3 linked regions of the Macaca mulatta genome follow. The protein of the gene in region 1 purifies or fractionates together with the protein of each later gene. This does not show direct contact. Links are inferred from orthologs where the notes say so. Each region holds a gene or a part of one and is shown in the gene's direction. Other genes may lie near its edges. The genes, in order: AP1M1, ATG9A and AP1S2.

The links.
Region 2: the proteins of AP1M1 (region 1) and ATG9A purify together in Homo sapiens (affinity purification with western blotting, with the first as the bait; 3 studies listed by BioGRID). This does not show direct contact. The link is inferred for Macaca mulatta from reciprocal best matches to the Homo sapiens genes AP1M1 and ATG9A.
Region 3: the proteins of AP1M1 (region 1) and AP1S2 fractionate together in Homo sapiens (co-fractionation; 6 studies listed by BioGRID and IntAct, counting the BioPlex papers as one, with this or other methods). This does not show direct contact. The link is inferred for Macaca mulatta from reciprocal best matches to the Homo sapiens genes AP1M1 and AP1S2.

What each region holds. Positions count from the first base shown.
Region 1 is NC_133424.1:16,678,590-16,682,318, forward strand, and holds the start of AP1M1 (AP-1 complex subunit mu-1), read left to right. Parts: upstream 1-801; 5' UTR 802-914; coding exon 915-956; coding exon of another isoform or gene 957-1,027; intron 1,028-3,729. UniProt on the Homo sapiens protein: Subunit of clathrin-associated adaptor protein complex 1 that plays a role in protein sorting in the trans-Golgi network (TGN) and endosomes.
Region 2 is NC_133417.1:124,472,552-124,476,297, reverse strand, and holds the start of ATG9A (autophagy-related protein 9A), read left to right. Parts: upstream 1-1,227; 5' UTR 1,228-1,256; coding exon 1,257-1,359; intron 1,360-1,467; coding exon 1,468-1,511; intron 1,512-2,351; coding exon 2,352-2,416; intron 2,417-2,601; exon of another isoform or gene 2,602-2,727; intron 2,728-3,746. UniProt on the Homo sapiens protein: Phospholipid scramblase involved in autophagy by mediating autophagosomal membrane expansion. Cycles between the preautophagosomal structure/phagophore assembly site (PAS) and the cytoplasmic vesicle pool and supplies membrane for the growing autophagosome.
Region 3 is NC_133426.1:15,532,210-15,535,955, reverse strand, and holds the start of AP1S2 (AP-1 complex subunit sigma-2), read left to right. Parts: upstream 1-1,270; 5' UTR 1,271-1,603; intron 1,604-1,747; exon of another isoform or gene 1,748-1,994; intron 1,995-3,746. UniProt on the Homo sapiens protein: Subunit of clathrin-associated adaptor protein complex 1 that plays a role in protein sorting in the late-Golgi/trans-Golgi network (TGN) and/or endosomes.

The sequences.
Region 1 (3,729 bases):
TCTATCCTAAGACTATATAATTACCGAGTTGCAAAAATCATCTTTCCAAACGCCAAAACGGAGATAGGAGGGAAAATAAAAGATGTGAGAGGCAGGCATCCTGGGTAAACCACTCTGATATTGCAGGGTTGGGATCCCCAGGGTACTGTGATGGCTAACTGGAACAGAATGCAGGTATTTCTCCAAAGCCCAAGATTTCATAAAAGCAAATTAGATATGATTCAATGGATTAATCAAGGGCCACCAGTTGCATTACCGACTACTAACTTTGCAGAAATGAAACACGGTATGCTGGGTCAAGGTTCAGTGAGACTGGTTTTCTTAACATTCCAGGCAATAAACAGGCATGCTCATTCACTGATAAGTTGACAATGACAGGTGGTGACTGTTGATAAGGTCTGATTGCCATTCAGAAAGTTTGACCTCTTTCCAAGTAACCACGGCCTTACCTCTCCCTTTTGAGCTTATCACAATTGGTGACTGTACACTTGTTTCATAGACTTCCCCACTAGACTGTGAGCTCCATAGGGCTGGGTCCCAGGTCGGTTTCACCACCAGGCTCTCTCGCCTAACTCGGCCGACGGGAGGCGGTTTTCAGCTGCTCTGGCTCCATAGCTCAGCCTGGCAGCGGCCAGTGGGTGCCCTGATTTGGTCGGCCCCGCCTCCCAGGGCCTTACTTCCGGGAGGCTTCAGGCGGGAGCAAGAAACATGGTCACATACAACGTAATGCGCCTGCGCAGAGTCCGTCCTGCGCCTGCGCATTCCTGGCAGCTCCTCCCGGACCGGACATAACGGTCCCCGCGCGGCTCCCCGAACCGGAAGTGGAGGTGAGCTGTCGCGGGCGGCGCCCGGCCTTGCTCAACGCCTGGCAGTCCCCACCGTCGCTGCCGCTGCCGAGGCCTCCTGCAGCCACCATGTCCGCTAGCGCCGTCTACGTGCTGGACCTGAAGGGCAAGGTAATGAAGGCTCCCCACCCTCCCTGTTGCCAGGCAACCGGCGGGGGCCTCCGCCCGCGGGGACCCACCCTGTTGCTAGGTAACCGGCTTATGAGCCCCACCCTGGTGTGAGGCAAAGAGGCCGGTAGACCTCACCTGAGAGCCCCACCCTATTTCTGGGTAACCGGGCGGGGGTCGTAAGTGGGTAATCCACGCCCTGTTGCTAGGTAACGCGGTGGGCTGCAGCCACCGCGTTGCCAGGTAACCGACTGCACCGCCCTCTGCTCCCAGGCACCCGGGCCAGAGGCTCTGGGCTCGGTGGAGGACCCAGAAGCGGGGCCGCAGCCGGCCTTGGAGCCAGGCAGGGTGTCCAGGGGCTGCGCGACCCTTGGCCGGGGGTGGCGAGGCGTGGCGGGGACTGGGTGCTCTCCAGCCAGTCCCGCCCTCTCAGGGCGTTGCAGCTTCTGTTTATCGTGCACTTTCTCTCAGGAGGAATTTCTCCATGTTCATTGCGATAGTGAGTTACAAGGGTTAGGTGAGTGGATGGTGATCACGAGTACCGTTTTATAGAGGGAGAAACTGAGGCACGGAGAGGTGAAGTAACCTGACCAAGGTCACAATGGTCACAGAGAAGTAGGAAGTCTAGGAGTCCGATCCAGAAGCATTTGTTTATTTAGCTGATATCTGGGGAGCACCTACTAATGCCAGGCAGGATAGTAAGCCTGGGGTCGATTTGTGTTTAGCAAAAAACAATCCTGCTTTTTTTTTTTTCTTTTTGAGATAGTGTCATGCTCAGTCGTCCAGTCTGGAGTGCAGTGGTGCGATCTCCACTCACTGCAACCTCTGCCTCCTGGGTTCAAGCAATTCTCCTGCCTCAGCCTCCCAAGTAGCTGGCATTACAGGCACCTGCCACCACGCCCAGCTAAATTTTGTATTTTTAGTAGAGACAGGGTTTCACCATGTTGACCAGGCTGGTCTCAAACTCTTGACCTCAAGTGATCCAGCTGTCTCAGCCTCCCAAAGTGCTAGGATTACAGGCGTGAGTCACTGTGCCAGGGCTCAACAATCTGTGTTCTTATGACGTTCACAGGCTGATTGGGGAGATGGATACCGATCTCCAAAAACACAAATAAATGTCAGTTGCAGTGGGGGGGTGGGGCGGATGTGTTATACAGATGGTCAGCCTCAGCCGGAGGATGAGAGAGGGTTTTCCTAAGGAGGGGTGACAAATGGACCTGAGATACCAGGGAGCTGGACATAGACTAGAACCCGGGCATCTTCCCCAGAGGATCTGAGAAAACTGAAAGAAGGGATTGTCCCCGCCTTTTAGAAATGGTCCTCTGCCTTCTCCCAAGTCCATCCCAGGTACAAGGCAAGTGGCTGCCTGGCCTGTTGCATGTGGAAGCAACAAGCACCGGTCCAACAATGTTAAACCCAACATTGGTCAGTGAGAGAAACAAACGTGGGTGTCAGGTCCTAGGTGAGGCGGGCAGGGGTGAGCCCTAAAGCAGCTGAGAGTGAAGAGGTGAAGTGGCTGCCCCTTCCTGTCCCACCCCACCCCCACACTTTCCTGAAGTCCCTTGAGTGGGTGCCTGCCCTGGAAGCCAACCAAAGCCAATAACTGATGAGATCCAGTGCTGGGTTTCCTTCCCCCACCTTCTTGGAAGCAGGGAAGACACCCGTCTTAGATCACGCCAGGGGCTGGGTGTGTGCAGTGTACCCTGAGTCCTGGTGGCATGAGTCTTGCTTCCGCCCTGGCCACTGCCTCCCCAGAGGTGCCAGCGGGCTGCCTGTCTTGGCTGGCTTATTCCTTCAGCAAACATTTCATGAGCACCTAGGATGCACCCTGTCCTGTGCCAGGCATAGGGTGTCCATTGGCACCGTGGCTGTGGTGTTAGGGCTGAGCTCAAAACCCATCTCTGCTGCTCAGCTGTGTGACCTGGGACAGGCACCTTCTCTCTGAGCCTCGCTTTCCTCACTGGTCAAAAGAGGCTTTCATGGAGTTATTGTGCAGATTTGCCGAGCAGATGTGTGAGACAGGCTCAGCACCACCCATGGTCCATGTTAGCTTTCCCAGGCCTCTCGGTCTAGCAGGGGAGTCCTCTAGAAGCAGAGACATTACCACACAGTTGGATCCAGGCAGCCACAGGGGCAGGAACAAGGTCCCAAGTCCTGCAGTTGCTCAACCTCGTCTTTAGCCAGTGGAAGGTGGAGGTGGTTATGAAAGGCTCCCTGGAAGAGGGCAACGCCGGAAGTGGGTTTGGAAGGTGATCAGGCACGATCTGGTGGAAAAGAGGTATTGCAAGGGGCAGCCTGCTGGGGCCGCTGAGCCAGAAGTCCTGGCTAATGCTGAGATGGGAGAGAGGGACCAAGGGGACCACTTCATTTCCAACAAGGAGCCACCGTGAGGAGACCATAGCCCAGAGAGGCATGATCAGACCTGCCTTTCAGAAAGCTCCCCAAGGCAGCCATGGGCTTCCCTCCCTCCCTCTGCAACCATGATGCCCTTTCTTATTCCACAATCCACGGACCTCCTGTTTCCAAAGTCGGCCTCGTGAGCCGACTGCATTTCATCAAAAATAAAGCACACTGAGAAATTCGTGGCCACGTGTCTGGTCACCGAGGACACTGGCGTGGCCACACTGGGCTGGAAGGAAGCTCTCCTAGTAGGAAGCTTCTCCGCTTTATCTAGCTGGCTTCTTACACCACTAACCACCACTAACCACCTCCTCTTCAGCGCTCCCTTCCGCTTCCGGGAGGCTGTGCTCGGGGGTTTCCTCCTGTTTCTCGCACC
Region 2 (3,746 bases), on another chromosome or scaffold:
GGCGAGGTGGACTCCGGTCCACGGTCGCCGCGGCTGGATGTGGGGAGGCAAGCCAGCCCACCCGGGCTATCAGCTGTAGGGCTGACTCGATCCCTGCAACATCCGCAGGAACCCCTGAGCCCAGGCCCAGCCGGCCGGGGCTCCACGGGCCCTGGTCCACACGGACCCTGTGAGTGGTGACTTCCCTGAGGGCCAGGACTCTCACTAGCCCAGGGAATCCCACCGGGGCCAGGCTGGGCCAAGATCCACGGCCCCCAGGGGCTGCACGGACAGGTGAGTACCACGACCATGCCTGGCTCCCAGGACCTAGGGAACCCACAAATTCACCTAGGATCTGGGGTCTACACTGACCCAGTCAAGGTTTCCCATCCAGCAGGTTTGCTCACCGGCTGGATCTTTGGTGCTAGGGAAGTAAGAAAAGGGTGACCAGAAAGGTCCTCTTCAGGAAAGACTCTCTTGGGGTTTTGTGGACCTTGAGAAGTATGTCATTTCTGAGGCTAAGGTGGGGCAATGAAGAAATAGTCCAGAGGGGCCCCTGGCCTCAGGTCTGTACCCATTCATTCTCCATGGGGTCCCTAAGTTATTTCTTGAGACTCTGGAGTTGGAAGAGTGGCCCTGTTTAGCGCAGCCAGAGGAAGTGCTCGTAGTCCTGGGCTGGAAGGGTGCTTCTTCCTCACTGCAGCCTTCCTGCCCCATGCTTGGCCTCCTCTTCATGGGGTGTGGATGGGTGGGAGGGTTGGGTTCCTTTATATCCCCACTCCCCACTCTCTGGGGCCTGACATCTTCTCCTCCAGCAGCTGCAGAGCATCGAGGGCTGGAGTGGAGCACATACTGTCCATGGAGCTGGTAGGGCCATGTGCTTTTCTCAAACATTTGTTTGCAAAGTGCTTCCAACCTGCTAGTCTCTTGGGAGACCAGGGTTTCCAGGATGGGTGGGGGAGGGACTTTTCTGTCCATTAAATAGAAGATGAAACAGCCCCCAACAAAGGGGCAGATTCTGGCTTTGGGCCAGGAAGGTAGCAGTAGACGCCCAGACTGGCCAGTTAAGGCCCCCCCAGCCCTGAGCTTACTGCCTTCCTTGTGTTACTACTTCTCTGCCTCTGAGCCAAGCAGGCTGGTAGTGGAGACAAAGCCCAAGGGTACTTTCTTACTCCTTTTTGCACTAGGCAGGGCAGCTCGTGGGCAGCAGCTAGAACTGAATCAGGGTCTCTTCTTCCTCATTGGCAGGTGGTCAAGGTGGACAGGGGGTGGTGGTGATGGCGCAGTTTGACACTGAATACCAGCGCCTAGAGGCCTCCTACAGTGATTCACCCCCAGGGGAGGAGGACCTGTTGGTGCACGTCGCTGAGGGGAGCAAGTGTGAGTTCTTGGACATGACAGCCATAGGGAGAGCTGATGGAAGACCATGGAGGGAGCAAGGGGCATGTGTTCTCCCAGAGCTCTGACATCTCTGTTCCTATCCCACAGCACCGTGGCACCATATTGAAAACCTTGACCTCTTCTTCTCTCGAATATCCTTTGTGTTTCTGAGTTGGAGCTCTGGGACCGTTAGTGTCTCTCTAAGCTGGGTCTCTGGTGGAAGGTGGGGGTAGGTTTGACTCTAATACCTGGAATGGGGAATGGAGCTTATCCTGAGGCTGAAAGAGGCTGGTGAAATCATCGTTAAGTAATGATAGCCCACATTTACCAAGATCCGTGTGCCCGTGTCTACTTTGTGGTGTTAATTTGTGGAGCCTTTCTAAGGGTAAGCCTCCATTTTTTTTTTTTTTCTTGAGATGGAGTCTCTGTTGCTGCTAGAGTCCAGGGGCAATCTCAGGTCACTGCAACCTCCACCTGCCGGGTTCAAGCGATTCTCCTGCATCACTCACTCTCCCACGTAGCTGGGATTACAGGCACCTACCACGATGCCTGGCTATTTTTTGTATTTTTCATAGAGACAGGGTTTCACCATTGTTGGCAAGGCTGGTCTTGAACCTCCTGACCTCAAGTGATCCACTCCCCTCGGCCTCCCAAAGTGTTAGGATTACAGGCGTGAGCCACCACACCCAGCCGAGCCTCATTTTTGATGGGATGTTAATAATCGTAAAAAGTAACATCTTTTGACTCATTCTGTGTCAGCTCTGTGTTAAATACTTTACATGCATTATCTCAGACCTAATACTCCTATGAGATAAGTGTTATTCATTCCTAATGTGCCACTGTGGACAGACAAAAGTTGAGAGGTTAAGTAACTTGGTAAAGTCACACAGCTAGAAAGTCACAGAGCCAGGACTTAAGCTTGAGTGTGTTGATACCAAAGTCTGTGCTCTTACCTGCTATCTTTTCTGACCACTTTTTCTTAACAATTATACGTTTATAATCTGCACCAGAAGAATGGCTTCACATGTATGCTCATCGGGGAGATCTTTGAGCTCATGTAAGTATAAGAAGGGACAGATGATGTGGTGAAAGAATACGTCTTAGTCTTTCCTCTCCTTGCACTCACACCTGGCCCAACCTGCCAGTACAACTCAGTCCTAGGCTAAAACTTTGTAAACCTCTGTAGTTCAGGGACTGGGTGTGGCACCAAAACTTACAGCTTCACCTTTCTTTTTTTTTGAGATGGAGTGAGTCTCACTCTGTCGCCCAGGCAGGAGTGCAGTGGTGCGATCTTGGCTCGGTGCAGTCTCTGCCTCCCAGGTTCAAGTGATTCTCCTGCCTCAGCCTCCTTAGTAGCTGGGACAACAGGTATGTGCCACCATGCCTGGCTAATTGTTTTTGTATTTTTAGTAGAGATGGGAGTTCACCAAGTTGGCCAGGCTGGTCTCGAACTCCTGACCTCAGGTTAGGTTATTCACCTACCTCGGCCTCCCAAAGTGCAGGGATTACAGGCATGAGCCACCATGCCCGGCCAAGCTTTCTCACAAGAAAAGCTTTCCAAGGCTTATCTCTTCCATGAAGAGAACCCAGGCCTTGGTTGGGCGCGGCAGCTCACACCTATAATCCCAGCACTTTGGGAGGCCCTAAAAATACAAAAATTAGCCAGGCGTGTGGTAGCGCACGCCTGTAGTCCCAGCTACTTGGGAGGCTGAGGCACAAGAATCACTTGAACCTGGGAGGTGGAGGTTGCGGTGAGCTGAGATTGTGCCACTGCACTCCAGCCCAGGTGACGGAGTGAGATTCTCTCTCAAAAAAAAAAAAAAAAAAAAAGGAAAAGAAAAAAGAACTCAGGTCTTGACCTTGATCATCTCAACGCTCCAGTGGAAATTACATTGTTCAGTCAGGAGGTCTCAGAGATGCCAGCCACAGAGAAAAGCCTCTGTTCTGCCTTGGCTGTACCATGGCCTGCTTCTAGGCAGAGAGCCTCCTGGGAGAGAGAAGCCATATAGCATTGCCAAAGGGGAAGGGGCTAAGAAGCCCTCCTTCAATCAGAAAACTCCCCCAAGGGCTTTTAACTACAACCTCAAAAGGCAATCAGGGACTGGAGATCAGAGACCCACAGGATGAAACCTTCAAGAGTCCAGAAGTGGTGGCTGAGGTTACCATGAGGTGAGGAAAGCAGGCTGCAGCTGTGGCAGCTGAGGCTAAGAGCAAAGAGTGGGCCTGAGACAGTTCTGTGGGGCTGAGGAGCAGAGAGGGCCCACTGGGAGTTCTCCAGGCCCTTCCAGTTCCCAGTCTTGTTCTGCTACCTCCATACTCTTCTCTTTCCACTGGGTTTCACTGGGTCCTCTCTGGCTCTCAGACTGCACTCCTTCTTTCCAACTCTC
Region 3 (3,746 bases), on another chromosome or scaffold:
ACAAAGGCCTTTTTAAAAATGCCCCCAAAACTACTGTCTTAGTTTCATAGATACTAAAATGCACACAAAAAGAATATAATTCCTAATAAAGGATTCCTTTACATTGATTACATTTAGCTTCGTGAAAAAATTAGCATTTCTTTTACTTTAGGCCATTAAAAAAATTCTGGCGACTACACCTAGGAACCTTTGCAAAAGGGACATGGCCCAACAAAAGCAATTTTCTCGCTTCCTTTGTAGGAACCTAGGTGACTCGGATAATGAATAGCATGCGATATGGGAAACCCGTGGCTCTTCAAGGAAGGTCACCTAATCCCGTGGGACTCCCCTTTCCTTATCTGTAAATGACTAGATGATTCATCCATTCTATCATTCAGAAAATTACGAACATCCATTATGCCCCGGCATTACGCTCAGCATTACAGCTCTTAACAAATTTATCATTTTATGGTCTTTATCAGTCAACTCACATTTATTGTGTTATACACCAGGCAGTGAACTAGACTGGGATGCAAAATGAATACAACTTAAGGTGTGCTAAATAAAGGCTAACGGGCATGTGGGTGAAAGAGGGAATCGCTCTTACAGGGTTTTAGGGTGAGGCTTCATAGGAGATGTGACATTTGAGAGCAAGGACATGCCAGGCACAGCAAGTCGTCGGCAGTGCTAAACTGGAACCCAGGCGGCTGGTGGGGCGACCCAGTGTGAAGGAAGCGGGATCTCGAAGGTGAGGTGCTGTCCGGGCTTTTCAGCCGAACGGATGGTAACTCCGCAGCACCGAAGATGGGCGAGGCGAGCCCAGGGAACAGACTCCCGCGAAGCTTAGGGCGAAAGGTGTCTGGGCTAGGGCTGGAGCAGTGCAATGGGAAGGAGAGGCCGGATTCCGGACAATTTTGAGGCAGAATGATAGCAAAATGCCCGTGAATGGGTGACGAGCTCCACAGAAGAGCTGACTTGTTTTTCCAGAGTTGCAGCACTCCCTCGTCTCCTCCCACCCTTGTCGTCAGCCGTCACACCTCCCCGACCCACCCTCTGGGGACACAGAGAATCATTAGAGCTCAAACGAGGCTCTTCGCTGTCTGGAACTTCCCGGCCCCGCACCTCCGGCTAGGCTGAGGACGCTGCAGAATCCCGTCCTCCTATCATTAAACAGGCAGCATACCCGCCCGCGCGCGTCCCGGAGGCACCAGCAGGAGTGCGCGGGCGCGCGGGCCCGGCAGACGCCGCTTCCGGGTCACGTGGCCCGGCTTCCGGTTCGCACCACCCCCTCAGCAAAGAAGCCTCCAATCGGCTTCCTTGGATTCAGCGGTTACCTGCGCTGCCTCCGGTGCCGCTGGCAACTGCTGAGCCGCTTCCCGCGCGTCGCCTAGCCCGCCCCTCAGCTCGCCGCAGCCCCGGCTCCTCCCTCGTCCGGCCCCCGGGGCGGGGTCTGTCAGCTCGCCCTCCCCTCTCCGCCTAAGCCTGCCCTCCGCCAGCCGGGTCCCCTCCCCACAGCACCACGGCTTCTCTTCCTCAGCACGGCGACAGGGGCTTCCCCTTAGCCGCCGCCGCCGCCGCCGCCGCCGCCGGCCGAGCTCCGCCGCGCCCGCGGCCCGCGGCCGCCGTAAGTCCCCGGGGACGAAAGGGGGCGCCGGGGATGGAGAGGGGGAGGGAGGGCTGGGCGCGCCCCCCGCCACCCCGAGCGCGCCCCGCGACCCCACCCCGAGCCTGCCCGGCCCGCCACTGGGTCGCCGCGCCTGCAACTCACTTCTCTCAGGGTCCGCGTCCTCCGCACCACTCCGCGCCGCGCCCGGGGATGTGGGGGCCAGTCCCGGGCTCCGCGACAGCCCCGCGGCACCTGTGGTTCGGGAATCGCCTCAAGTTTTGCGGGGCGTTTTCGGGAGGGGCCGGGGGCGGTGGCGGCCGAGGACTCTTGGCGCCCCCTGCGCGGCGGCGGATGCCATTGTCTGCTCCGCTCCTTGCCTGTCACCTCGCCCGGGCTTGGTCAGTGATGGAGTGTGGCCACGGGAGTGGGGGGGAGGCACCGGCGACGGCCGGACCCGAGGAACGCTGGCCCCGAGCCCGCGCCGCGGCTGAGCCCATTGTTTTTAATGCCAATCTCGAGGAATTTTGGTGCCCTGTGATTTGCGGCAAAATCAAAGCGCTGGTTTTTAACACGAGGGAAGGAATACTCGTGCCTTGCAACCGGGTTTCGTCCCATGTTAGGACATAATTTATTTTAAGGAGAATACATTGTTTTTTCGTCCTGCAAAGTGGTAGGGCGGGTACAGGACCCTGCTCCAGACAGCCTTGAGCCCATACTCTTTGCAAGCAAACCCTCACCCTTTCTGGTCACCAAGATCTAGGAATACGAGATCCATTCTTTTCCAAGTTCTGGTAACGGGTTTGCAGTAAATGTCCAGTTGATGCTTCACTTGCTGCTCCCTTCGAATGCCGCTATCTTCAGGACTTGCACGGGAGGCACTTTGGTATCATCTAATAATGTCCTTATATTTTGTTCCCCTGACGCATTTTAAGTGAGGTAATAAGACCATTTTAACTTTACTAAAGTTGAATTGCCACGTCATAAATTTCTAGATATCTTGTTGATACCTTTTTGGGTGGTTATAAAAAACGACGATAATTTCTTACCGAAATTTAGGGCCCATTTTTATTCTACATTGGTTCTGTAAATTTCCCCTCCCCGTCTTCAAATTCAAGATGGTGTGGTGAATCTTGAGAATCATGCTTGAATCTTACTTGCAGTAACGCTGTTAAAGGAACTTACAGTGGTTAAAAGAAAAAAGGATACCTATGTGAATTCTGGCTTTAAATTACCTTTGTAGAAACAATACTTCTGTTTGCAGTTGAGATGACCAATTGAATTACAAAAAGCTTGGGTTAAAAATGAAACATGCAGACTAATCAACACATTTGCGATCACAAATAAATACATACAAATTAGTTTAAGTAATAAAACACACTAGAATTCAGCATCCACTCTATCTGTAGATACTATTTTTTTTGAAGTATTTCATGTAATGTTTCAATACTAAATCTTATTTAACAAGTGTAAATCTTATTGTGGCCTTTTAAATGTTTGTTTTCTTTTTCATAATACTACATTAACTCAGTTCTAGATTTTGTACATATTTAAGTTGGAATGTTTTAAAAGTAAGATGAAAACATACTTTTTTATTAAGGAAAATTTGTAGTTATGAGATTTTTCGGTTAATATTTTGGATCATTCTGTTTTGCTTGAAATATGCCATCATAAACCGACGAGAGCATTCTAAGATATAAGCTACTGTCTACAAGTAGTTCACCCTGGAACTAGAACGGCCTCAGGGTGAAAAATAGCAGGTCTTCCGTTTCTTTCAAAAATACCCAAATCAATTGATGTCTACCATTTTCTTTTGATACATATAGAGAGTGTGCAATGTATAGCACAGGTAGAAAATAGTTTCTTAAATTGAAAGAGTGGTCTTTATTTTTCTTCAAAAATTTCGCTTCAGCTTATTACAAATTTTTCTTTTTTCTCTTGCACACTCCCCTCCAAACTTAACGTGGAACAGGGTGGGATTGGAAGGTTTGCATCTAGAGAAGATCTGTCCAAAAGAATTTCTTGCTATTTTAATTGGCATAGAAATATTGATGGCTAGTAATCATTTGTCATTTAAATGCCCCATCCCCCAAAGCTTCTCTGTGAAACACATAATCTTAACTTTATTGATTCAAAGTATTACATGTAATCTTGATTTTATTTA